Canis lupus familiaris: one gene and its partners. The protein of the gene in region 2 purifies or fractionates together with the protein of the main gene of each other region. This does not show direct contact. Links are inferred from orthologs where the notes say so. Each region holds a gene or a part of one and is shown on either strand. Other genes may lie near its edges. The genes, in order: CDKN1B, XPO1, NUP88, NUP62, DDX19A, HDAC3 and NMD3.

Region 1 (2,971 bases), on a different chromosome or scaffold from region 2:
TGCACCCTTTCCCTCAAATTTTAACTTTTATCATTTATTTGCCTTCTTCCCATGTATGGCTCAAAATCTGTTACTGACTCAACTTGAAACCTCTGGGAAAAGAATTCTTATGAAGTGGGACTGAAGCATATCCCAGTTCTTGCTCAGATGGGGGGAAAGAACCTATTGTTCCCAACGGTTTTGGTGGGATTCACAGGGAATTGACCTTCCCACTCATCATCCAGCCTCGGTCACAAGTACTTTGGCTAGGACACTTGCTCTGGTTATTCCGTGTTTTCAAGGAAAAATGACCTCAGGACGTAGACAGTGTGAAAAAAATTACAGGATCCCCACCAGCGATTCCCAGCCTTCCCCATTCCTACTTTTCCACCTCACAAAATAGAAACAAAAACCCACAAGCTCCATTCTGCCAGCAACCACCAAGATTGGGTATCTCGGGGTGTGAAAGCCCATTTCGGAGTGTCAGTTTCTTGCTCCTAGTCATCAACCCACCGAGCAGTTTACGTTTGACGTCTTCTGAGGCCCGGCTTCTTGGGCGTCTGCTCCACTGAACCCGCGTTCGGGGAACCGTCTGAGACGTTTTCTTCTGTTCTGTTGGCTCTTTTGTTTTGAGGAGAGGAATCTAAGGGCAGGAGGGAATTTTAAAAAGAACACACACAATCTTTATTAGAAAAACAATGGCTGACACAAGTTGGCACAATAGTCAGGGGATGAAAAACCCACACCTCCACCCACCATCCTGGATCCGTCATTCCCGGTGGCCTTTAAGGGCACAGAATGAGGTTGTTTTCACATAACAGAAAGTGTATTCTATGCCCCTAGAGCTGTCTCGCTGTCTCTCTCTCTCTCTCTCTCTCTCCCCACTGCAAAGAGGGAGGCCGTTGATAAACATCCCAACGTAGTCACAGACCCAGCGCTGGCCAGCCGGGAGGAACTGCGATGTTTTCGGTTGGAGCAATGATCAGATAACAGCATCTCACTGACTTAAAAACAGGCTCCTGACTTAAAAATCATAAGCAGCCAGGCAGCCAGGCGGACAAGCATTTAAAACCCAAGAGGAGGGCAGTTCGCTCCCCCCACCCACCTCCACTACATCGGAATACTCTGGAAAAGCAAGCTGCGGTTAGGGTCCTGGGCACCCAGACCTTCTCTGCTTGGGGAGGGGTCGTTACCGTCGGTCGCGGGTCGCTTCCTGATCCCAGTGCACTGCTCCGCTAGCCCCGTCTGGCTGTCGGGCGCATCAGTCTTTTGGTCTACCAAGTGTGTGTCCTCTGAGTTGGCCTGAGACCCCAGTAAAGGCCCCGCCTGGCGGGTCCCGCTGACGTCCTGGCTCTCCTGCGCCGGCACCTTGCAGGCGCCTTTGGGTGGCCGCGGGGGTCTGTAGTAGAACTCGGGCAAGCTGCCCTTCTCCACCTCCTGCCACTCGTATTTGCCCTCCAGGGGCTTGTGATTCTGGAAATCAAAATTCCACTTGCGCTGGCTCGCCTCTTCCATGTCTCTGCAGTGCTTCTCCAAGTCCCGGGTCAACTCTTCGTGGTTGACCGGGCCGAAGAGGTTCCTGCAGGCGGAGGGCTTGGGGTACTCGGCCTGTCTGGCGTCCATCCGCTCGAGGCTCGGGCTCCCGTTAGACACTCGCACGTTTGACATCCTCCTCCCCGGTCTTCACGACCGCCGCGAGCGCGCGCGCTCTCTCCCTCTCTCGGAAAACAAAACTGAACAAAACAAAACGCCCCGACCCAGCCCGAACCGCCCCCTAGAAAGCCCTGCGATCGCGCTCGGAGCCAAGAGAAACAAACACGCGCAAGTAACTGCCCGAGCGTCAGGGGCGCGCTGGCCCGGGGGAGGCGGGAGGCGGGAGGGGCAGGGGTGAGGGGTGAGGGGAAGCCCCGGCCCGGCAGCCGAGAGCCGCCGCCGCTCTAGCGGACCGGCGAGCGGGAGGGCGGGGCGGGGAGGGGAGAGGAGAGGAGAGCAGAGCAGAGGCGAGCAGAGGCGAGCAGAGGAGGGCAGAGGAGGGGAGGGGAGGGGCGGCAGAGCCAGTCCAAGCCCGGGCTGCCGCGAGCCCGCGGGTCCCGCCAACCGAGCGGCTCTCCAAACCTTGCGGACGTCGGCGTCGCGGAGCGGCGAGGCAGTGGGGACAGGGGAAGGGGAGAAAAACACCCCGAAAGGACGAGCCCCCTTTTTTTTAGTTGCCCAATATGGCGGTGGAAGGGAGGCTGACGAAGAAGAAAATGATTGACACCGCAAGTCTATTTAAACAGAGGAGGAGATCCATTGGTTGCGGCGCCGGGAGCCGCCCCGCCGAGGCTGGCGAGCGCGGCCTTAAGGTGGCCCCGGCGGCCGCGACGCCTCCCGCTCGCCCCGCCCCGCCCCGCCCCGCCCCGCCCCGCCCCGCCTCCCCGGGCGCGCGCCCGCCTCCGACTGCGCCGCCCGGAGCCTGGCTGGTCGCGTGACTCCGGAGGTGCGCGGCTGCCAGCAAACCTGCTCCGGCTGGCCTCGGAGAAATTAAAAACGAGACAAACAAACTAGCCAACCGGCCGGGAAGCCGGGGAGGGCGGGGGCGGGGGCGGCGGGGCCGCGGGTTCAGGTCCCCGCGCTGCGCTGCCTGGCGCGCCCGCTCCGCGCGCGGGGAGACGGAGGGGGCAGGATCAGATGACCTCCTAGGTGGCCCGGTGGCGAGCTCGTCTTCCCCGCGCTCGCCGAGCCGGGGGTGCGGGCCGCGGGGGGCGGAGGCTGGCCGTGGGAGCTCTGCGCCCCCAGCTGCGCTCTCCCCGCCCGCCCCCCCCCCGCTGCGCTCTCCCCCCCCCCCCCCCCCCCCCCCGGCTCCGGCGCTGCGGGGAGGCTGGGCGGCCTTTGGCGCTCGCGGAGGGGCCGGGAGCCGCGCCCCCGCCCCCGCCCCCGCCCCCACCCCGACCTGGGTGCCTCTGCTAGCGGGGAGCAGTGGTTAGCTCCCTCTGAACCTAGGAGGCTCTGC
Region 2 (3,972 bases):
ACCATCTATTTGTTTCTTCCAACCCTCAATGAATTTGGAGATTAAAATTCCCTGAACACATTCTAGAAAAACTATGGTAATATGTCAAAAAAATGTTTTAGATTTCCAGGTATTCATTGGGAAGGTTAAAAAACCTATAAAAAGTTTGCTAATTATTTTCCAAATAAAAAATTCTAGGATAACAGAAAAGTGAGCTTCTTTATCTCACATAATGTACTGACTAAAGCCTACCAGTTCATATGCAATGTTATCCTTTTAAGAGGATTCTAATCCAAGATGCTGGCACATATTCACAATTTTGTTGCCCAGCATTATAAAAAAAAAATCTTTCCTTTGCTTTTTCTTCAAAGCCAATGCCACTTGAGTCTGACTGGCTAATTCAGTACTCCTTAATCTTTTTGGGTCAAGATGCCTTACAATCTGAACAACACGATAGCTCCTGCCAAAATTTTTTAAAACTCACAATTTTGTATACACAATTACAGAAAATCCAGGACACCTTGAAAGCCATGCATGAAACCTCAGGTTAAGAATCCCTGGTTGACTGTAGTTATTAGCCCCAACAAGGTCAGCTGGTCACCACCACTTCTCCCCCCTCTTAAGAACCTTCCAGGATCAGGAAATGGGTGGGATTTGATTACATTATGTTTGGTACGAAAAAAGACGTTATTTCTTGGCTACTTGAGAGCAGTTTAAAAATGTTCATAACAATGGCAGCAATTTCAATTTTAACTCCAATGCTTTCCTTAATGCCAATTATCAAAAAAAAAAAATCAGAAGTAAAGAAATGAGTCAGGTTAGGGATAACGGAAAAATTGAAAAACTAAGAGTTCAAAGACTCATTCCTCTGAAATCTTTCAACCCGTTACTGACAGCAAAAACTGAGATCTCCAAAAATTACATAGCAGTTATTACTGTTTTTAACAATATCAGACGTGCATTAAGAAGTCTTTAAATATGAATATAAAAATGGAAGTATATTCCAACAAACGTGTACATTCCCTCCCACCAAACACCACAAAATTTTAAAGGATCAGAACAGTCTTAAAATTGAGGCTGAAAAACAGGTGCCCACAAAGCACCAAGACGTACGTGGCCTAAGTTTTCAATTTTTGGTTAAAAGATTGGACAGAACAAACTTTCCTCCTATGTCGTCCTCTCGCAATCTAGCAACCCAAACAAAAAGAACCATTTGACTATAAAAAGTCCCGTGCTCAAGTACGTTGTCCTTACAGAGTTCTCCGAGCTCAATTCTTGCGAACACTCAGGTTCCGGGCAGCGCCTGCGCCAACTCCGGCGGGCGCCGGCCGTAGAACCAGGCTACCTTCCGAATGACCTGCCTATTCTTGAACCGCGCAGAAATGGCGGCGTTCTGGTCCATGCCAAGCACACGGAGTCCGCCCCCCCCCCCCCAAAATCAAGCAGCTTCCAAAACATTCTTTCCACTACCAGCAGCGTCCCACACGCGGAGACACCCGGGCGGGCCGGCCGCCAACGGGCGCCGCGGGGGAGCGAGGCCGCGGCCGCGTCGCCTCCTCGGGAGCTGCACCCGGAGACCCCCTCACGGGGAGCGCGGGGCCGCATCCTCCCGCGGCGGGGCCGCCAGCCCCCATCCGGACCGCGACCGCCGCTTCGGGATCGCCAAGGACTAGCTCAGACACCCACCCCCGGCGCTCCCGGGCCGAGCGGGCCGCCGCGGCCCCATTCAGCAGCCGCGCACCCCGCGGAGACCCGCCCTCGCCGCGCTCCCCGCCGCGGCACCCGGGGCGCGCGCTCTCCCCGCCCACCCCGCGCCCCAGTCGACCGCCGCGTCCCCGGGCAGCGTGGCCTCCGCCTGAGCCGAGGCGCCCCGGGCCGGGCACACCGTAAGCCGCCTCTACTACAGCCCTCCCCGCCGCACCCCAAGCTCGGAGACGGGCGAGCGGAGCAGAACCAGGGCATCCTCCGCCGCACGCTGCCAGCAGGAAACCATTCGATCGCCCCACTCTCAGGCCCCCTCCCCCCAACTACAGCACGGAACCCCACTTCCAGAACCCTCAACAATCCACTAACCTTTCCTACTTCTAATCCTACTCTGCCTCCCACCCCGCTTAAAAAAAAAAAAAAAAATCAGAAAAGATTTCGAGTTTCCTTGCAGGAGGAGGAGGAGGAGGGACTCGGCAGCCCCTCCCTCCCCCGATCCCAAGCTCTCCACCGAGGGGCCACGTGATGCAGGCGGACGTTTCAATGCTGCTGCACTAAATATTTCTGGAAACTTCCACTCCTAATAATTTACAGAGATGTTCCTGAAATCACCCCAACTTCTCCCCAGCCCCCCGGGCTGGGGAAGCCCTGCCGCCCCCACACCGGCCCCGCTTCACTATCACGCTCCTCGCCTTCCTCCACCGCCACCCGCACACGCCGAGAGCCCAGCAAGCGCTACCCTCCCGCGGCCGCCTCCCCGCCTCCATCCCCCAGCGGCAGAAGCGGCTCCATTCAATCGCGGGCTCCGCCGTGGGCCCGCCGCCGCCTCCCGGGCTCGCCTCCCGCCGCCGCCGCCGCCGCCGCCGCCGCCGCGCCCCACGCCGGCCTCCACCCGCCCGGCCGCCGCCCGCCCCTCGGCCCCGGAGCCGCAGCCGACTTACCCAGAGATTGAACCAACTGCTGCTTCTTTCCTTGCCGGGGGGATTAGGGCGAGGGAAGGTGGGGAGGGGGGAGAGGGGAGGAAATCAAGGTGGGTTTCACAGTTTTCCCCACCTTAAAAAGGGAAATTAAAAAAAAACAACAACAACGGAGATAAGGGCCAAAAAAAAAAAAAAGCTCAACAATATTTACTATTTCAGGGACACCCCCACGACACACACCCACCCGCCCTCCCCCCGCAAAAAAAGGAAGGGGAATTAATCCGTGGAATAAATGCTCCCGCCTGGCTGGGGAGTGAGGGAAGGGGGAGGGGAAAGGGGTCAAGTCCCAAAGATTCAGCCCCAGGGGGACCCTCCAGCCACAGGCGGCAGCAGAAGCGGCAGGAGTAGGGGGCAGAGAGTCCACAAGGCCGGGGGACGCTCCGCTGCCAGTTGCAGTCCGACTCCCCCCGACCAAAACACGGCTCCCTCTCTCACGCGGCTCCGGCGCTGGGCCCCCCCACCCGGGCTCGCCTAAACTTTCCCCCCTTCTCCTGCTTCTCAGCGACTGGTGGCTCCCCCCTCCCCCTCTGGGTGGTTGCACGGACTGCAGCAGCAAAGACTGGAACAGGCACCGCCGCCGGGGCTGTAGCTACTGTTGCTCTTGCTGATGCTGTAGCTCCCGCTGCTCCTGCCGCGGCCGCTGCAGCCGCTTCTCCCCCTCCTCCTAGTGCCTCAAACTCGGAACCGGTTGAAACCGGTTCAGACTGGGAGATTCCATCTCGGTTGAGTTTTCAGCCCATGGCGCCGCGGAGCGTTTGGAACCTGGGCCTCCGCCCCCAGCCCGCCCGCCCATTGGCCGGTTCCCGCCACAGCCGCGCCATCAGCCTGCGTTTCATTGGCCAGGCCGCCCGTCAATCCCACCTCAAGTCTCCACACGAGCCCGCCGCTTCGGCCCCCGCCTCTTTCCAGCAGCGATTTGCCTGCAGAGTGGGGGAGGGGAAGCGGGGCGGGTCGTAGCGGAGCAAGGAAGGGGGGGTGGAGGCGGAGGAGGGGGGACGCGGAGCCGAGCCCAGCCGCGAAGGGAGCGACGACGAGCTGCGCCGAGGATTGGTGCGAGCCGCCTGTCAGTCAAGCGCAGCCCGCCCCCGACTTCCCGTCCCCCTCCCGCGGCTCCCCCTCCCGCGGCTTGGCCCGCAGGCCCGGCCTTTCCGGCCCGCTCATTGGCTGGGCGCCTTCGGTGACGGCGAGGGTGCGGCGCCGCCCGTGAGCTGGGAGCCGCGCGAGTTTGAGCGCGGCGCGCGGCGGCGGCCGCTCGGCTTTCTCCGGCTCCGCGCCGGCCCGCCCCCGCCCGCTCCCGCTCCCGCTCCGG
Region 3 (3,500 bases), on a different chromosome or scaffold from region 2:
TTCAGGTGTAAGATCTCAGCCTGTGGGAGGGGCGCCTGGGGGACTTAGTGAAGCATCTACCTTCACCTCAGGTCCAGATCCCGGGATCGAGTCCTGCATCAGGCTTCCTGCTCAGTGGGGAGTCTGCTTCTCCCTCTCCCTCCGCTCCTTCTGAGCACACATTCTCTCTCAAATAAATATAATCTTAAACCCAAAAACCTAAGACCAGGAGGGGCAGGCATCAGGAGTTCTTCCATGTACAGCATAGCCTCTGTGGCGGGAGAGCATCCCTTTCCTTCTTTGGCCCCAAGTCCAAAGCCAAATGGGTGGGGAGACACTCAAGGAGATTTAGAGGCGTCCTGGCGAATGCCAGCCATAGTGCAGGAAACCAGAGGCACCCAAGGGAAGGGAGCTCTTGAGTGAACCTGATGAGCCACACCCAAGGGTTGGGAGCATGTGAATATGCTACACTGTATCTGCTTCTCATAGGAAACTTCTTTTTATTTATTTTTAAGATTTTATTTATTTATTCATGAGAGACACACAGAGAGAGAGGCAGAGACACAGGAAGAGGGAGAAACAGGCTCCATGCAGGGAGCCCGACACGGGACTTGATCCCGGGTCTCCAGGATCATGCCCTGGGCTGAAGGCAGGCGCTAAACCACTGAGCCACCCAGGCATCCCTCATAGGAAACTTCTAATGGAGGTGGGCTGGAATGGTGTAAGAAAGGACCATGGAGGGCAGCCCCGGTGGTGCAGCGGTTTAGCACCGCCTACAGCCTGGGGTGTGATCCTGGAGACCTGGGATTGAGTCCCACATCGGGCTCCCTGCAGGGAGCCTGCTTCTCCCTCTGCCTCTCTGTGTCTCTCATAAATAAATAAATAATTAAAAAAAAAAAAAGAAAGAAAGGACCATGGAACAGATACCCAGGTCCCCGTGACCCTCAGAGGGCAGAGGAGAGGACGCTGGAATCATCACGACTCCACAGGAAAGACCACAATGGCTGCATCGCAAGTGCGAGGATACTCCATCCCGACAAGGGCCCAGGGCTCTCAAGGTGCCGTACAGAAACAAGAGCCAGAGCAGATCGTGCCCTCTCCACTTGCATCACGCCCATCAGCGTCCGGTCTGTGTGACCAGCCGGGACTCAGAGCTGGGACGGACTGGACATCAGCGTTTTAAACTGGACACACCAAATTTTAATAACTACAAGTCAGCAGACAGCTATGAGATTATGTAAAAGGCCAGGAAGGGCAAAGTGCTCAGCAGAGGAGGAGAATCTAGTAGAGCACAGTTAAAAGCAGTGATTAGGAAAAATAAAATGATCTTTACCTCTGCCGAGTCTCCCCAATAAATGTATGGCAGATCCAGGACGATAACTAATTATATTACAGAAATCTCTGCAGATTGAGGACACTTAATCATAGAGTCCAAAACCTGTCAGATTAAACTGGCTCATTTTACAAAATTGGAAACTGAGGCCCCCTAAAGTTTAAGATCCCCAGGACAGAAGGGGCACTGGGACAAGAATTCTCACCTGAACTCCCAGTTATACTTTCACCTTCTTATGGTGCATCGCCTCCAGAAGAGCAACAGGATGAGAGGGGCTCTCTCAGGAAGGTCAGGGAAGGAGGGGTAGGAGGCCTGGCTGAGGGGATGAGCAGTAACGAAGGCATCTGAGGCCAGTCATATGGGCAGCTCTGCCTCAGTGGTTACAACAGCCCTGAGACACAGTAAGCTGACACCTGGTGACCCGTCCAGGGGTGCCCTGGGCTGGCAGCCAGCAAACAGGACCACAGACTTCCCTGCACAAAGCTACAAGAGTTAAAAACTGCTTTACCTTATTACATTGTCTGATGTTAAGAGCACAACGTGGGGATCCAGCAGCTCACTTGGGTACCAGGCCGCATGCTTCAGAGTCAGAGAAGTAGAACTGGTGAAAAATCTCTCAGCGATGGGAGTGGTACTAAAATAAAAATAACAGTTTTTCCAAAACATTTTGTAGAATGTGGATGAAAAACCTTCTAAGGGAAAATCTATTTTAACATTCTTTGCTCTTCAAATTTCTTTCTCTCAAATCTTGCTGAGAAGAGCACTCAGGGGGATCCCTGGGTGGCGCAGGGGATCCCTGGGTGGCGCAGCGGTTTGGCGCCTGCCTTTGGCCCAGGGCGCGATCCTGGAGACCCGGGATCGAATCCCACGTCGGGCTCCCGGTGCATGGAGCCTGCTTCTCCCTCTGCCTGTGTCTCTGCCTCTCTCACTCTCTCTCTCTGTGTGACTATCATAAATAAATAAAAATTAAAAAAAAAAAAAGAGAAGAGCACTCAGAGCATCTGTTGCATCGATATCAGTGAGGATCAAAATAAAAACATTTTCTAAGTCACAGAGTGTATTATACTTTACAAGTGACTCAGATTTCCTAACTGACTTGATCCCTTTAGTGACCTGGTAAAAGAATGACAGGGTAAATATTACCCCTCTGATTGTGCAAATGAGGAAACAGATATGGGAAAGGGAACGTTGTGGAGCTAAAGGTGGTTTCAACCTTATACTCTTTCCAACAGATCTTTCAGACTCTCACTTTTCGGGATTTGTTGAAAAAGATAAAAAAAATCTAACTTAGTTAAACAGATCATCTGCCTCACAGGGTAACCACTTTTCAAAAGTTATCATATCTCTGCCCACGTGGACGAGCTGAAACTGCGGTGAGACAGCAATGGGCAGAATCACATGGGTCTATACACGGGACAGCCAAAAGCCCACGTGTAGACCAGTTGGGGACCCGTGGTATTGGAGCAGCAGCACAGAAAATGCAGCATGAGAACCATGGGTCTGGAACAACTTCCATATGTATCACAAACTAGACCAACACTCAGTGGAAACACAACTTACCTACAGTTCACTGCTAATTTTCCACCTTCAAATTCTGAATTCTTCCCCCATCTTTTAGGTAGTTCTAACACCATGAGGCCTTTTATTCCTATAAGTGCTACATGATGCTGTGTCGGACTTAACAGGACTTGATAGATTTCAAACAGGGGCGGATTTATGCAGAGCAATCTCTGGAAATGAAAGCAAACTGGTCAAGATGGTTCATTTCAATGTAAATATATGTGGCAGGCACTTGAAGGCCCTAGCATTACAGTGCAGTTTGTACAGTAACTGAAGCAGGCCCGGCTTTACTTGCCCATCTGTGCCCGTAACTGCAAAGCAATGAAGCCTTTTGGGTAATTATGTGCTAACGCTGTGGCTATTCACCGATGGGGCATTTTTAACCACTGACTGAAATGTAACAGAAAACACATCAGATCCCCCCCCCTTTTTAGATTTCCCTACCTTAAAAATAAATAGTACGCATAATTTCCCTTTCCATGACTGAACTCCAGTCCGCCCCCGACAGCCTCCACACACCACCAGGCCAGCTGTGTCTCCACAAAGCCATCACACTCTGTGAGCCTGTGTCTCTCGACAGCTCTTCCTTCTCCTTTTGTGGCTGGCTGTCATGGTCCGGGAGACGGCC
Region 4 (4,218 bases), on a different chromosome or scaffold from region 2:
GCTCAGGTCATGATCCCAAGGTCCTGGAATCAAGCCCTGGGTAGGGCTCCTTGCTCAGTGGGGAGCCTGCTTCTCCCTCTGCTGTTCCCCCTGCCTGTGCTCTCTAAAGTAAATATCTACAAAAACAAAAACAACTAGTGAAATCAGAATATCAAAATGAGGTGTGCACTTTAAAATCCCATACCGACGTGGGTTCTTTAGTTGTGACAAATATATCACAGAAATGTTAAAGAGGTCAACAACAGGGAAAATGGATGTGGGGTATATGGAAACTCTCCGCACTATGTTTGTAACTTTTCTGTAAAAATAAAAAAAAATTTTTTTTAAAGATTTTTAATTTATTTATTCATGACCAACACACACACACACAGAGGAAGAGACACAGGCAGAGGGAGAAGCAGGCTCCATGCAGGAAGCCCGACGTGGGTCTCGATCCTGGGTCTCCAGGATCACACCTCGGGCTGAAGGCAGTGCTAAACCGCTGGGGCACTGGAGCTGCCCAAAAATAAAATTATTCTAAAATAAAAATTTACTTAAATTGCCTAGTCCATGTGTACATACTAGATGTTTTTAGAAGACTTAAGATTTGGGGGGGCAGAAAGGAGGACTAATCTAAATGCTTGACCTGAATTATGAATTAACTCATTGAATCCTTGTGACAGTACTAAGTAGGCACTACTTATTATTATTATTATTATTATTTAAGATTTTATTTATCCATTCATGAGAGACACCGGGAAAGGCAGAGACACACGCAGAGGGAGAAGCAGGCTCCATATGCTGGGAGCCCAATGTGGGACTCGATCCCAGGTCTCCAGGAACAGGCAGGCCCTGAGCTGAAGGTGGCGCTAAACCGCTGAGCCACCCAGGCTGCCTGGCACTATTTCTTTAAGTAAACTCTACTTCTGATGTGGGGCTCAAACTCACAACCTGAAGATCAAGAGTCACACGCCTGAGCCAGCCAGGCACCCCAGAAGTAAGCACTGTTAGCTGCCACATGTATCGCTAAGTTTCTATATGGAGTTAATAGAAACGTAGCGATAAAATAATGTAGCCACCATCACAGGTCTGAGATTTGAACGTAGTGGAAACCGAGGCACAGGGAAAAAAAGAAATTGACAGTAAGCTAATAAGTGGAGTAGAGACAAGGTCTGAACCCAAAACTGGGCGCCAGAGTCTGCACTTAACTGCTACTCATGCTGCCTAGGTAATAACCTAGCCCCTATAGGTCAAATCTTCAAATACTGGCACAGTACACAGTAAGTGCTCTAAGTGAAAGTGGTCAGATCCCAAGAAGGACTTCCTGCATGCAACTGAAGCCTGCTATCTTCATTCCCAAATAAGTCTCAAGATCAGAGTTCCCCCACCTTCTCTGGACCTCAGAACCACCACCCGTGATGTTAAGTTGAACTCTAGGTGTCCTGCTGTGGACAGATGCAAGGTGGGAAGTAAAGACCCATACCCACTTGGGCCAGTGGAGGGTCTAGTGCATAGGAGGGAATGGCCAGGAAGCCCCCTCTCTTTTAGCAAAGGGCAGTGCAGATCTCCCTATTTTGGGGCAGGGTTGGTAAACTGATCCAGTGGGGGGCAGCTGAAGCAGAACCAACTGGCCTGAAAGGAGGGCTAAGGATAAGGGCTGATGGGAGGTGGGCAGAGGATGGAGAAAAGCTACAGTCAGGGTGATGATGCCTGCTTCTCTGCAACTGTGCTGGTGTTGCGGGTGAGCGTCCATCATCTGGAACAGGGAAAGGTGGGGATGTCTGGCAATTACTGACACCTTGAAGAAGTGAAGAAGACACAAGAATGACCTACTAGCAGCTATTGTATGGTCAAATGTCTGGGGATCTTGCCAGGGCAGGAGGTATGGTTGAGACTCAACCCCAGAGTTCCTATTAAAAATAAGATACATTAAATAGGCAATTAAGAGCCGGGCTCTGGGTTTCACAGGCATCGACTTGATTCTCATCAGGCAGAGTTGATTATTTTCTTCATTTTACAGGCAGTTCTCGATCTACGAGACTAGAGAACTTGATTATTTGGCCACCATCGCAGGTCTGAGATTTGAACGGCGCGCGCGGTCTCATTGTGACTCAGACAAGAGTCTAACCCACAAAAAGGGTTCTTAGCGTGGGGCGGCAGTTTGGGGATAGGAGTCCAGCATGTGGCTGGCCGGAAATTCGAGAACTAGGGCAAAAGAAACCAAAAGTGAACTAGGGCAGGTCTCAGAGAAGGCGAGGGATCGAATCCCTAGAATTGGGGGGGAGGGGACCTGAGTCAGAGAGACAGAGAACAGGACCCCAGAGTTGGAAGGAGGACGGGGGCCGGAACCCCTGGGGTAGGAAGACGGAGCTGGTCCCCGGGTCAGAGGAAGGAAAAGGCCTAACTCCGCGTCGGGAGGAGGAGGGGAGTGGATTCCAGGATTCCCGAGAGGAGAGGCCAGGCCCGCCTCCCGGTTGGGGCCTGGCGGGGCGGGGCGCGGATGGATCCGGGGAGGCCGTGCTGCGCCATCCCCTGTATATCTGTCCCCACTCCCCGGGGCCGCCTCATTCCCCATCCACAGATCACAATCTCCTCTCAGGCTACCGAGACGCCATCTCCGCCCGCCCAACCCCGGCTATGGCTCTGTAGCCGCGACCCCTCCGTGTCCCGGCCCGTTTCCGCGCTCACCGCGCTTGCGCTCTTCTCTACCGCCTTCTTTTCTTCAGCTGAGGCTGCCGCCGCCTCTCCTTTCCGTAGCCATGGAGTGAGTAACCGCTCGCCCCTCCCTCTCCAACCGCCTTTCCCGCCCTTTCGAAGCTCGCGGCCTTCACGACCAGGCCTGGGGGGTGGGGAGACGAGAGTGAGGAATCACGGTCGCGCAGGCGCAGAAGAGGGAAACGCGTCGTTGGCACGCGGCCGAGCATGCGCATTCGGTCCAGTGGGGGAAGGGTACGTTCTTCCCTAGAATGCTGGAGTTTAAAGATGGCCTGCACGCAGTGCGCCTGCGCACTAGCCCCGAGCGGGGGTCGCCCCCCGCTCCCCGAATGAGTCTGTCCGCGAGCGGTTGCTCACGTGCACAAGCCCACCAGACTCCGTATTTTTTGAGTGAAGGGCGGGCAGTAAGCAGCTGCACATGCGCACTGACTCCCCAACCCCGCAGGCCTGAGAGAACAATTGGATCAGTGGCAGAGCATGCGCTTTAGCCCTGCGAGAGAGGCGTGTGGCTCCGCCGGCCGGCTCCCGTCTCCGAGCTCCACCTTGCTCATGCGCACAACACAATTTATGTTTCATTCGGGCACCTGCTGGGGCGGGGTTGGGTGGGGCTGACTCAGATTGACAGGGCGGAAGGCGAGGCTTAGAGGCCACCTGTAAGGAGGGGGGTGGAGCTAGGATCAGCGGCTGCGACGGGTGGGCGGGGGTCTATCGTGAGAAGGGGCGTGGTTAAGCAAATTTACCTGGGGTGGGGTTTCAACGGAGAGAAGGCGGGGCCTCTGGGGTATCCCCGGGAATGAAGTGGGGGGCTAAGGTAATTGGACGGGAAGGGACTGGGGCGGTCACCGCGAAGCTAAAAAGAAGCCGTGGGACTTAGTAGACCACGGTTTGGAGGGGCAGGGCTGGGGGAATTCCCCTGGGAGCTGATTTTTTTTTTTTTAATTTTTATTTATGATAGTCACACAGAGAGAGGCAGAAACACAGGCAGAGGGAGAAGCAGGCTCCATGCACCAGGAGCCCGACGTGGGATTCGATCCCGGGTCTCCAGGATCGCGCCCTGGGCCAAAGGCAGGCGCTAAACCGCTGCGCCACCCAGGGATCCCTGGGAGCTGATTTTTGAGCCGAGTGTTTAGATGGGATGGAGCCTAAAGGAAATACTTTAGAGGAAGGGGTGTGGCTGGAAGAAAATTCTCCTGGGATTGAAATTTTTTTTAAAAGATTTTATTTATTTATTCATAAGAATACACAGAGAGGAGAGAGAGAGAGGCAGAGACACAGGCAGAAGGAGAAGCAGGCCCCATGCAGGGAGCCCGACGTGGGACTTGATCCCGAGTCTCCAGGATCAGGCCCTGGGCTGAAGGCGGCGCTAAACCGCTGAGCCACCCGGGCTGCCCTGATTTTTTTTTTTTTTAATGAAGTGTAATTTTGTGAGGTGGGAGGGAAGGGCTTAAGGAAATTCCCCTGGGAGACCATTAGGTTTTTGTATAGGAAGGAACAGGGCTTGGGAATTCTAAAGAAAAGTAAGTG
Region 5 (3,500 bases), on a different chromosome or scaffold from region 2:
CAAACAAATGCTTCTGAAGGTTCTAAAAGCAAATAACCCAGCTGGAGAAAGAAGAGGGGTTAGATATAGCAGGAGGAGATACAGTGAACAAGATTTTTACTTGCAGATCAAGAGGCGAGAAGTTCCTCTTGGCTCAAGAGTTCCTACCTCTGGATGCGGATGCTCTGATCTTGGTGGCCCTGAGTAGCTATCATCACGTCAGCCTCATCCAGAACAAACACCTTGATCTTCTTGGGGTCAATGAACTTGAGCTTGGAGCACCAGTCCAGAACAGTCCCAGGGGTGCCAATGACAATGTGCTCACTGATTTTCTGACCTCTTTCCACTGTGGAGACAAGACATTTTCCGTGGGTATTTCCATGGCAAACCAGTTTTGGAAATCAAAGCCTTGCCCATCCTTCCAGAGTGAGTAAAACAAGTTAATTCCAGATGTCAAAACACAAGAGCATTATCCATAAGTCTTGGATTCTTCTATTTTAAAGTCGTACAATGGCACCTATGTCCCAGCATAGTGGTCAGGATTCAATCCTATGCAGTGAATTCTCAGTAAGTGCCATGTCTCTCTTCTGTTTCCTCCTGTAATTCAGCATTATCCTACTCATTCTCCTTGGCGTTACTCTTACTCACTTTGCATCATACATTCACTCACAGTTCACAGATTTTCTCTTCAACTGGTAGTTTTGAGTCCCAGGATCCTGGCCTAGTGAGCTTTAGTTAACATTCTAATATAGACAGTCTTCCTAAGTACATGTGCTAAAAAACACATTACTCTCAAATTATAGCTGCTGGAGTTGAAACTGGTACAACCACCTATTAAAATTACTAATGTGCATAGTCTGTGACCAATACTCCATGATTAGGAATGAACCCCGTATGTATGTTAACATGTGTACAGTAACAAATACGCAAGGCTATGCCGGCATTCAACAGTAACTAATTAAGCAAAGTAGGGTACACACAATGGATGATGCCAAGAAAAGTAAAAAACTACTTAGGAACTGATAAGGAAAAATCTCGAAAATACATTATGAAACGTGAAAAAAAGTTGCAAAGCAGTTTGTATACCAAGAGGCAAAGAACGAATACATGTAATACATATACATGTATGAAGTGTACACATTTACATACTTACGCACACATGCACGCACACACACACACGATGTGCCTGCAGCCACACAATATCTCTGGTGCACCACATGAGAAACTGGTTAGTACTGAGTGCCTAGAGAATGGAGAGCTAGGTGGTTGGGGATATGGGAGAAAAAAGTTTCTACCACATAATACCTTCACAAGTTGAAAGGATAACTATTTTAAAAACAAAATTTAATTTAAGGAGAAGGGCCTTTCATTAGAAATTCATCAGTTATCCATTGGAAAATTTTTGAATTAACTCAAATGTAGTTCTCAATGTCCACTGCCTCTAAGTCAAAATTGAACCTTTAAAAATAATACATTAAATATAGTTAATCTATTAATCCTTCATACACAGTGAAGTCCCATCTTATTACAAAATCTTAAGAAGTTATATGTTGTTACAAGATTCTGGTATCTACACTTAGATGTACCCACCACTGTGAGACATCAAATAAACACACAAATTACATAATCAACCTAAAAACTTTTGGATAAAGTAGTTTTGCTGCATGCTGAAGCATGATGGTTTTCTCCAGGAAAAGCTCTTCTGTGACTGTGTGGTGAGCTGAACTTAGTTATTTCTCTCAGTTGACCGATAAACTATAGAAAATGAAGTTGGGAATCTGATATCCACTTTCTTGAAAACGAACAGGCTGTTTCTTCAATGAAAACAATCTACTGTATTTGCTGCCACAGTAACATTTAAACTTTCAAGAGAAAAGTAGAATTAGAGTTTTAGTAGACTTGTATGTGCCATTAAGTTTGAGTTTCTTGATTTTATAAACTCTGATGAGTTTGGTGGTAATATTTGTGCAGACAATTTAAAAAGTTTGTATAATGAGATGTGTCAACATCTGGAAGATCAGTGTAACTCAGTAAGACAGAATTTTCCACAGACCAAGGTATTTTAATTTAACAGTATGAAAAGTTCAGTAACAGGATTTCAGATTCCATACTGGAACTAATTCTTAAGTAATTACCACTTGTTATGTTTTGGTGTAGCACCTAAAAAAGGTACCTAAGATTATCAGAAAGGCCAAATTTTCTTCATATTCTTTAGAAGTATAATTTCTCAATTTTAGCTTCCAAAATGGCAAATATCAACAGATAAAACCTGTATAAACAAAAATGCTGTGGGGTCCTCATAATGTTTAAGAGTGTAAGAAACCAAAAAGTTCAAGAACCATTGCTCCAGGCAACTACAAACTGCTGGGTGAAAGGGAGGTCTCTTTTTAGTTTTTCTAAGCAATGACAAACTGCTTCCAGAAAGTACTAGTGTATACGCCCCACCAGCAGTACACGGGCATTCCAGTTCTTGTAGGTCTCCATCAACACTTAGTATTGTCAGACTTCTTCATTTTTGCCCACCTGAGAGGCATATAGTGGTTTTAATTTACATTTCCCTGATGACAAATGAGGTGTATTGATCACCTTTTCATATTTACTGGCCCTCTGAATCCCTTGTTTTGTGATGTGTCTGTTCAATTGGGCTTCTTTCCTATTTAGACTGCTTGCTTTTTTCTTAATGACTTGAGGTTTTATATATCCTGATAGCTTTCTAATGATCAGTTTTCTACCTGCCCCTCATCTCCATCTTAGTCCTTGTTTTTTACATTACATTCTGTAGAACACATGGGAGAAAAAATTGGTAGAAGAATTTCTATTTTCAATAGGACCAAGTTATCTGTATATACTCCTAGTTTACTCTTACTAAAGCTGTGCTTATTTTTAAACAAAGAGATATGATCCCAACCTACCATCCCTCAGACCTACTAATTCCTCGTTAGTAAGTAGTTTCCAGAATTCTGGATGCTGAATTCAAAATCCTATTTTCTCAGTGAAGAACACCAGACTTTAACAACTCTGTGACGCATACAAAGATTTTCCTAACAACTCAAAATCCTCTTTTAAGAGCAGAAAGGACTATTAAATAGCAAGTTTAAAACAGATTTGCTGAAAGCAATGCAGTGGGTCCTAAGGTCAAGTGAACCAGAAAGTTTAACATCATCATCACATCTTCAATATTCAAATACCCAACTACCCTATCCTGCTCACTGCTTAGGTCTCACCCCTTTATACTCACATTTATTGCCTCGAACAGCATAAGCAAGCTTTAGTTCTGGATGAAATTTGCCCATCTGCTCAATCACTTTTCCCGTTTGAAGCGCCAGCTCATATGTTGGGGAGAGGCACAGACACTGACAGGGAGATCATAAAGGTTGAGTTTAGGAGAGCCTTTTAGTAATAGACAACAGGCCCAAAAGGAACAATATGCTGGTCTTATTACCACTCAAAAGTAGCGAACCACATCCTCTCCAACCAGGCCCACTCTTCAGCTGTAGACCCAAGCCTTCAGCAGAGAGCCC
Region 6 (3,500 bases), on a different chromosome or scaffold from region 2:
AATCAGGAAGCATACTCACCAGCAGCGGGCAACATTTCGGACAGTATAGCCACCACCACCTAGCACCAGTAGAGGGATATTGAAGCTCTTGACATATTCGACACATTCTCTGTTAAAAGGAACCAAAGGAATGGCTGGAGGAAGTTATCAAAAGCCAAAGTATAGCTCTCTAGGTATTGCCTGGAAAGGGCACAAGGGAACTAGAAAAGATTCCGTATCTTGATCTAGGTAGTGAAATTCACTGAGTTGTACCCTTGAGATATGTGTACTTTAATATATGTATGTAGGCCTGTGACGGCCCCAGTCCAAATAAAGTCCTGCGTGTGGAGCAAGAAAAAAAAATATATATATATGTATGTTGTGTCTCAGTAAAAATTGAAATGAGGACCTTCCCACCTCCCTCCTGCTCAATACCCATCCTGGCATCTCATTTGTTAACCAACTATTCTCATCAAAGCACCAGCAAGTGCTGTCAGCTCCAGCCTCTAAAATATAACTCAAATCACCTACTTCTCATTGGCCATCTCCACCTAAGCCCAGGTACCACATCTGCTGCCTGGACAACACCAAGGGATTCCTAACTGGCCTTCTCATTTTCACTCCTGTCCCCTACCCCTACCCTAAACCTTCCTCCATTCACCAATCAGAGCAGTAGCTTTATTTTTTTTCTTAAAGATTTTATTTATTTATTCATGAGAGACACAGGGAGAGAGAAATAGAGAGAGGCAAAGACACAGGCAGAGGGAGAAGCAGGCTCCATGCAGGGAGCCCAATGTGGGACTTGATCCCGGGACCCCAGGATCACACCTGGGCTGAAGGCAGGCACTAAACCACTGAGCCACCCAGGGATGCCCCAAGCAGTAGCTTTAAAACATGAATTGGATCATGTCACTTCCCTGTTTAACATCTTCCAACAGTTTCCCATCATATCTGAAATGCAATCCAGAATTCTCACCAGGGTCTAACGGCTCTGCACAATCTTACCACTGCCAACTTCTTAGGCCAACCTTACCACACCTCCAGCTTGCGGAGATGGTTTGACATGTGTTCTTGTCTGACTGCTTTTACTTCACATCCTCAGCTACACCAGCTCTCCCATGTCTCAGTGTCTCTCTGCCTGAGAGTGACTCTCTTATTCTTCCTATGGCCCATTCACCAACTACCCCTACCTACTCCATGTACTGAGACCCAAAGCCACTTTGAAAACCTGGGGGCAGAGATGGAGGGCAAGTCTCACCCATGTCCTCGAATGCTGAGGTTGAAGCAGCCCAAACGGTCACAGCCCAGAGAGTCCGCTCCACACTGCAAAAAAGCAAAACCCCAGGCAGCTGCAGGGGGATAACTGACCAGAATGTCCCAGATGTCCTTCACTTCACTTCCCCAATAAACACAAGGGCTATCCTCCTCCCTGCTCTCTTCCCCTAAGCCCAAGCAGAACCCTCTTGAGGAGGCACCTAGAGTATTACCTGGAGCACAATGCACGTGGGTTGGTAGAAGTCCACCACCTGGTTGATAACTGGCTGGAAAAGGTGCTTGTAACCTGAGAGAGGGCCAAAGGTGGGTACCTGGCACCCCAAGGGGATGGGGAGACAGGGAACAAAAGGAAAAAAGGGGTTGAGCGAGCATGTAGCCCAGGGAAAGGGGCAACCCAAAGAACCAAATCAATGGTTCTCAACTTTTGGATGGGGTCCCAGAGCATTCTGAGTGACTAATGAAAGCCAATGACCCTTTTCCCAGAAAAATGCACATACACCTAATATGTTGCATACAATTTCCGGGGGAGGGAGGGGTGGTTAATGGTCCCTCTGAAGGCCATTCATCCTTAAGGACACCTGGCCCAACAGTAGACAATACCAGGCAGAAGAGGTTAATTTAAAGAGAGGAAGAAGGGGCCTAGTAAGCAGGGAAAAGACTTCAATACTTACTCTGGTCATCAATGCCATCCCGCAAGGGCACATTGAGACAGTAGTAACGGCCACTCTCTGCTCCAACTTCATACATATCACCTATAGGGAGGTGGGAGGAGGGGGTAGGAGCCATACACAGGAAGTACCCACAACGCAGCTGCCTTAACTTCAATCTGTACACTGAGGGCCTCTCACTATATCTATGTACCTCCACTGCATGTTCCCTATAGACATTTACTCTCTTGTGGCTTACATTCATTCAACAAATAATCTTTGAGGGCCTACCATGAGCCAACCTGTGCAGTAGATACTGGGGATATAGCAATAGAGAGAATGGATGAAATTAATGAAATCCCACCAAGCTTATATTCTTGGGGGGTGGGCATGATGAAACAAGACAGTAAACAAAACAAAACACTGCAATAAATACAAGCAGCAATGAGTGCTCTGAGAGAAGCAAGCAGTGACATGGGGTAGTAATGGGGAAGGAGGGATTACTCTAACTGTGGTGGTGAGGACACACTTCTCTGAGAAGTCACCTGAGCCAAGACCTGAAGGCTGAGCAGGAGGCTATCACGGTAAAGAGTTGAGGGTGTGAAGGGGATGATCATCCTTATTCCCATACCTGTGCCAGGAAAGAAGTAGTTTCCGTATTTGTGGAAAGAAACTGTCATGACCCGGTCAGTGAGGTAGAACGCTTCCTGAACTCCATCACCATGGTGGATGTCAATATCAATGTAGAGCACCCGAGGGTGGTACCTGGAATGAGAGCCAAGCCAGGGTCTGAGGTAGAAGGGAACCCCAGCAAGAACACCCCCAATTCACACCTCCCAAAACAAGATCTGGAATTACGAAGATTCTACTTAAGCCCAAATCACCTGAAACCTAATACCAGTTCCCTATAGGCAACGCTGGGACTCTTGCCTGGAGGCAGGGACAGGAGAGGGATGTGCAGAGAAGACTGAAATGTGAGTGGGCAGCAGGGAGTCTGCAGCAGAGCAGGGAATAGGTAGTCTGAGTAAAGCACTAAAAACTATGAAGAAGCTAGTGTAGGGGCAGAGGAAAGGGTCAGGGCCAGCATAGTGTAATAGAACTCCTCGGCCATGGGTCTCATATCCCTCCATCTCCTCCCAGGCTACTTACTTGAGCAGCTCCAAGATGCCAATCACAATGTCATTGACATAGCAGAAGCCAGAGGCCTATGGTGAGACAGTGGTCTTACGAAGAGAGTAACAATTCCTCTACCCAGCTGCCCCTGATGTCATCCCGACCACCTATGCTAGGGCACTCATTGTCTCCCCCATCACCTCTTCACTCACCTCAAACTTCTTGGCATGGTGGAGACCACCAGCCCAGTTAATGGCAATATCACAGATCTGAAAAACAAACACCGAGCTCATAGTCCTACTTGCCCACCCCCAAAGCTGGAAGCTCAGGGTCAGGGTTAAGGCCTTGAGCTGGAAGGGCCCATAGGAAAGGGAGAACAGGACTCAGGGCCACAGGCACCTTGTTGTTCAGCTGGGTTGCTCCTTGCAGAGATGCGCCTGTGTAACGAGAACAGAACTCGAAGAGCCCGGGAAACACTGGGCTGCA
Region 7 (4,272 bases), on a different chromosome or scaffold from region 2:
GAGGCTGTTTATCATACAGAGCTTCTGGTGACTAAAATGAAAAAAAAAAAAACCCTCATGATAATAACAATATTATATTCTTAGTAATCTGCTTTCACTTACCCTTAAAAACCCAACTCAATATCTATTAACTGTATATACCAAACCTATTAAACCCTTATAAGACTAAAAGAAAGTAGATTCAAATACATTTACACTAACTTTACCAGATTATCAGGGTTCAAACTAGAGAAGTACACTACAAAATTGCAAATCCTAAAATGTCTGGCAACACCAACATAAATAAAAGTTAAATCTCAATTATGTGTGCTTTTAGTCTATGTACCTCTATGTCACATCAGCATATATAGATATAAAACTCAACTTTACGTAACATAAAATAGTACCGCATCATACCTTTGACATTGCTTGCAGAAAGATATAGAGACCTGTTTCGGAATTCCTTGGCTGATGTCTACTTTACTTCGCAAACAGGCCACACAAATATTGGCAGGATTTGGACTGATTGGGACACCACACTCACAGCACAAGCTTAAATAAACAGAGCATAAATTTTTCAAATTAGGTTTCATAAATGCACTGGTTGTTAAACAAACAAAAGCCTTCAGGGGAGGCCATATCTTTGCTTAAAAAACACAAAAACAGGGCAGCCCAGGTGGCTCAGCGGTTTAAACGCTGCCTTCAGCCCAGGGCATGATCCTGGAGACCCGGGATCGAGTCCCACATCGGGCTCCCTGCATGGAGCCTGCTTCTTCCTCTGCCTGTGTCTCTGCCTCTCTGTGTGTGTCTCTCATGAAGAAATAAATAAAATCTTTAAAAAAAAAACACACACACACACAAAAACAAAAAAACACCTGGCAAAGTAATCTTCAAAGATGCTGTAGATAAAGTAGCACCTTGGAATACTGCAGCAAAAAATCCAAGGATGGCTATAATTCCAAAAATCCTCAAAGTATGGTGTTGTCCAAAGGGTCAAGAGAGAGTCTAATAGATCTGTTAAGAATAGTCATCACAGATCTATTATCGTCCGAAGACATTTTTCTTTAGGGAGCCAGTATAGAACTGCCAAAACGTAAACATTCAAACAGAGTAGAGGGCAGCCGGGGTGGCTCAGGGGTTTAGCGCCGCCTTCAGCCCAGGGCGTGATCCTGGAGACCGGGGATCCAGTCCCGCATTGGGCTCTCTCGTGGAGCCTGCTTCTCCCTCTGCCTGTGTCTGTGCCTCTCTTTCTCTCTCTCTCTCTCTCTGCGTGTCTCTCATGAATAAGTAAATAAATAAGTCTTTTAGAAAACAAATAAATAAACAGAGTAGAAAAATTGTCAAAGAATAAGAAGAGTATCAGGGCTAGTGTGATTCTGTATAATGGACTTGTGTCATAACTCTAGGTGTACTGAGACAGAAGATGTTTAGCGATCACTGATGTTGTCCCAAAGAAATGTTTTAAGATTTTATTTGTTCGGGATCCCTGGGTGGCGCAGCGGTTTAGCGCCTGCCTTTGGCCCAGGGCGCGATCCTGGAGACCCGGGATCGAATCCCACGTCGGGCTCCGGGTGCATGGAGCCTGCTTCTCCCTCTGCCTATGTCTCTGCCTCTCTCTCTCTCTCTGTGTGACTATCATAAATAAATAAAAATTTTTAAAAAGTACATCAAAAAAAAGATTTTATTTGTTCATGAGAGACACACAGAGAGAGAGGCAGAGGGAGAAGCAGGCTCCACGCAGGGAGCCCGACGCGGGACTCGATCCCAGGACTCCAGGATCAGGCCCTGGACTGAAGGCAGGTGCTCAACCGCTGAGCCACCCAGGTACAGACCCGCAGGTACAGAAATGTTCTATAATCCATGACGTTCTGTAGGGTAGCCGCCGGGCCCATGGGGCCACTGGGCACCTGAAACCTGGCCGCTAGGACTAAAGAGCTTATATTTAATTTTATCTCATTTTAATTTTACACTTAAATAGCCCCACATGGCTAATTAGCTATCACATGGCACAGTGCCAGCGGAGAACGACGTAAAGCGAATATTTTAACGCTCTTAAATCAGCAGGTGTTTACCACAACAAACTTTTCAACTAAAAAACGATCCCGATTGTCTCAGGAAATAAAGCTTTTCGCTTAAGAATTCCCTTCAAGAAAAAAAAAAAAAAAAAAAGCTTTCCTCACAGGCAGCAAGTTTCAAAGACTCACTTTAATATTTTTACATTTAAAGGACCGGGGTGGGGGGGGGGGGTACGACTCACATGTGTCCGGGGGTGCGGCCGGCGGCGTCCGTCAGGTACTCCATGTCTCCGCACACCTTGATGCAAAGACAAAGAACGGCTTGTGGGGTTTAAGTCCTTGGGGCTATTCACCTCCGCGCAAACCTCCCGTCTGTGGACACGGCGGCCACGCGTCGCAGAGCTGCCGACGAGAGCCAGTCGCACGCGGCAGCTCCGAGGGGCCAGGGCACCGCGCGCTCCCCAGACGCCGCCGCGGCCCGCGCACCGCTCCGCGCCCCCTCAGCGACCCCGGCCCCGCGCCCGGCGGCTGCGGCCTCCCGCCCGCTCCGGCCCGCGCCGCACGCACGCGGCCCCAGGCCTGCCCGAGCCCGGGGGCTCCGCCCTGCTCTTTCGCTCCAGGCCCCCCGCGCGCCAGCAGCCGGATCTCGGCCGCGGAACCTACCGAGCGCTCCTGAGGCAGACCCAGCCCGGCGGGGCGGCCGCGACCGACAGCCCCCGCGGCCCCCAACGCGGCCACCACGGCCGGCTCCCCGCAGCGAAGATCTCGCGAGAGAAGAGCCCGCACTCCCGTGGGCCGAGAGCTGGAAGTTGAGGGGGCGGGTGGGGGCGGAGGCGAGCGGCGAGGGGCGGGGCTGCGGCCCGGGGGGGCGGGGCGAGCGCGGGAGGGGCGTGGCCTGCCTCCGCCCTGCGCCGGCTTTCCGGGGGGCGGGTGGGGGGGGTCACCGCAAGCTAACCTCGCCCAGGTGTGTAAATCGCTGCTCGGACATCCTGATGGGGAGCTTGCGTGCCTCTTGGTTGAGCGATTATATAAAAGTTGTCTCTAAACGCAATATGCAAAGACACAACATGCAAAGAAATTAAACTCCGTCAAGGGCGGTGTCTTTGTCTCTTTTGTTCCTATCATTTGCCCGATGCCCGCTGCGCCCTAGTCAAATGCGTATTTGTTGAATAGATGCAAGAAATAAAGAGGAGTCCCAATTCAATGGGAGGTCTGTATGTTTTTAGCCCACTGATGATGAGGACGTGCTCCCCAGGCCGCCTGGGTGGCGCGGCTGCTGAGTGCCCGCCTTCCACCCAGGTGGTGATGGGGGCCCTGGGATCGAGTCCCACAAGGGGCTCCCCGCAGAAGCCTGCTTCTCCCTCTGCCTCTCTCTCTGTGTCTCTCATCGATAAATAAATAAAATCTTTTTAAAAAATAAAATAAAATAATAAAAAATTTAAAAGGATGTGCTTCCCGATAATGCATTTAATATTTCTTTATGACTTTATGCCTTCATCTTAGAACGGCACAGACCATGCCTAACCACTCTTTCTCATGACAGAATCTCAAATATTTAAAGAGCACAATCATTTTTTCTGTCCTCTGACCCCAAATTTCAAGGAATAAGCAAGGTCATGTTAGAGAAGGTGATCAAAATAGGCCTCCTCGTTTCTCTTGCCTAGGGTACCTAATCTCCCCTTCCTTCCTCTTACTTCTAGACTCCAATCTATCCTTCTAAAATGCAAATCTGATCTTGTCGCACTGTCCTGCTTTTAATCCTTCAGTGGCCTCCGACAACCTACAGAGTATTTCCAATTTCTCTGCATGGGAGGAAGACACTTTAGGATCTAATCCTGACATACCCTGTCACGCTCCCAAGCACGCAGCCAAACAGACCCACTGAAAAGTCCTACAGGAGCTAGTCTACGTTTGCTTATGCTTGGGACAGTCTGCCATAAAGATTAAGCTCAAGTACCATATATTAGTTTCCTATTGCTGCTGCAACAAATTACAAATTTTATGGCTTAAAATAACACAAATTTATTATCTTACACTTCTAGAGGTGGTAAGTCTGAAAAAGATGTTCCTCCTTTGTGTGTGGTCCTACATCTTTATAGAGGTATATGCCTCTGTAATGGTGCCAACAACATTAAATTGGATCGTAAATTTTCTACTCTGCATGTTCCACAGGTCTAATTGCTGGAGAGCAGTCCAAGTCTCTTCTCCACATTCCCTGCACCTAGCACAGTGCCTGGTGCAAAACAGACCCTCAATATATGGTGGTGAATGAATTATC

Evidence for each region.
Region 1: the proteins of XPO1 (region 2) and CDKN1B purify together in Homo sapiens (affinity purification with western blotting; 4 studies listed by BioGRID). This does not show direct contact. The link is inferred for Canis lupus familiaris from reciprocal best matches to the Homo sapiens genes XPO1 and CDKN1B.
Region 3: the proteins of XPO1 (region 2) and NUP88 purify together in Homo sapiens (affinity purification with mass spectrometry; 3 studies listed by BioGRID and IntAct, with this or other methods). This does not show direct contact. The link is inferred for Canis lupus familiaris from reciprocal best matches to the Homo sapiens genes XPO1 and NUP88.
Region 4: the proteins of XPO1 (region 2) and NUP62 purify together in Homo sapiens (affinity purification with western blotting; 4 studies listed by BioGRID and IntAct, with this or other methods). This does not show direct contact. The link is inferred for Canis lupus familiaris from reciprocal best matches to the Homo sapiens genes XPO1 and NUP62.
Region 5: the proteins of XPO1 (region 2) and DDX19A fractionate together in Homo sapiens (co-fractionation; 3 studies listed by BioGRID, with this or other methods). This does not show direct contact. The link is inferred for Canis lupus familiaris from reciprocal best matches to the Homo sapiens genes XPO1 and DDX19A.
Region 6: the proteins of XPO1 (region 2) and HDAC3 purify together in Homo sapiens (affinity purification with western blotting; 3 studies listed by BioGRID, with this or other methods). This does not show direct contact. The link is inferred for Canis lupus familiaris from reciprocal best matches to the Homo sapiens genes XPO1 and HDAC3.
Region 7: the proteins of XPO1 (region 2) and NMD3 purify together in Homo sapiens (affinity purification with western blotting; 3 studies listed by BioGRID and IntAct, with this or other methods). This does not show direct contact. The link is inferred for Canis lupus familiaris from reciprocal best matches to the Homo sapiens genes XPO1 and NMD3.

Annotation. Positions count from the first base shown.
Region 1 is NC_049248.1:12,565,065-12,568,035, reverse strand, and holds CDKN1B (cyclin-dependent kinase inhibitor 1B), read right to left. Parts: upstream 1,648-2,971; coding exon 1,173-1,647; intron 623-1,172; coding exon 501-622; downstream 1-500. UniProt on the Homo sapiens protein: Important regulator of cell cycle progression. Inhibits the kinase activity of CDK2 bound to cyclin A, but has little inhibitory activity on CDK2 bound to SPDYA. Involved in G1 arrest. Potent inhibitor of cyclin E- and cyclin A-CDK2 complexes.
Region 2 is NC_049231.1:62,877,691-62,881,662, forward strand, and holds the start of XPO1 (exportin-1), read right to left. Parts: upstream 2,801-3,972; 5' UTR 2,625-2,800; intron 2,073-2,624; exon of another isoform or gene 2,053-2,072; intron 1,373-2,052; exon of another isoform or gene 1,234-1,372; intron 1-1,233. UniProt on the Homo sapiens protein: Mediates the nuclear export of cellular proteins (cargos) bearing a leucine-rich nuclear export signal (NES) and of RNAs.
Region 3 is NC_049226.1:31,574,764-31,578,263, reverse strand, and holds part of NUP88 (nuclear pore complex protein Nup88), read right to left. Parts: intron 3,043-3,500; coding exon 2,873-3,042; intron 1,947-2,872; coding exon 1,821-1,946; intron 1-1,820. UniProt on the Homo sapiens protein: Component of nuclear pore complex.
Region 4 is NC_049222.1:107,310,875-107,315,092, reverse strand, and holds the start of NUP62 (nuclear pore glycoprotein p62), read right to left. Parts: upstream 2,801-4,218; 5' UTR 2,668-2,800; exon of another isoform or gene 2,450-2,667; intron 1-2,449. UniProt on the Homo sapiens protein: Essential component of the nuclear pore complex. The N-terminal is probably involved in nucleocytoplasmic transport.
Region 5 is NC_049226.1:76,930,576-76,934,075, reverse strand, and holds part of DDX19A (ATP-dependent RNA helicase DDX19A), read right to left. Parts: intron 3,333-3,500; coding exon 3,218-3,332; intron 326-3,217; coding exon 148-325; intron 1-147. UniProt on the Homo sapiens protein: ATP-dependent RNA helicase involved in mRNA export from the nucleus.
Region 6 is NC_049223.1:35,735,357-35,738,856, forward strand, and holds part of HDAC3 (histone deacetylase 3), read right to left. Parts: intron 3,496-3,500; coding exon 3,414-3,495; intron 3,284-3,413; coding exon 3,227-3,283; intron 3,107-3,226; coding exon 3,051-3,106; intron 2,667-3,050; coding exon 2,533-2,666; intron 2,007-2,532; coding exon 1,926-2,006; intron 1,541-1,925; coding exon 1,467-1,540; intron 1,303-1,466; coding exon 1,238-1,302; intron 324-1,237; exon of another isoform or gene 110-323; coding exon 20-109; exon of another isoform or gene 1-19. UniProt on the Homo sapiens protein: Histone deacetylase that catalyzes the deacetylation of lysine residues on the N-terminal part of the core histones (H2A, H2B, H3 and H4), and some other non-histone substrates.
Region 7 is NC_049255.1:27,425,707-27,429,978, reverse strand, and holds the start of NMD3 (60S ribosomal export protein NMD3), read right to left. Parts: upstream 2,801-4,272; 5' UTR 2,658-2,800; intron 2,293-2,657; 5' UTR 2,281-2,292; coding exon 2,237-2,280; intron 532-2,236; coding exon 397-531; intron 1-396. UniProt on the Homo sapiens protein: Acts as an adapter for the XPO1/CRM1-mediated export of the 60S ribosomal subunit.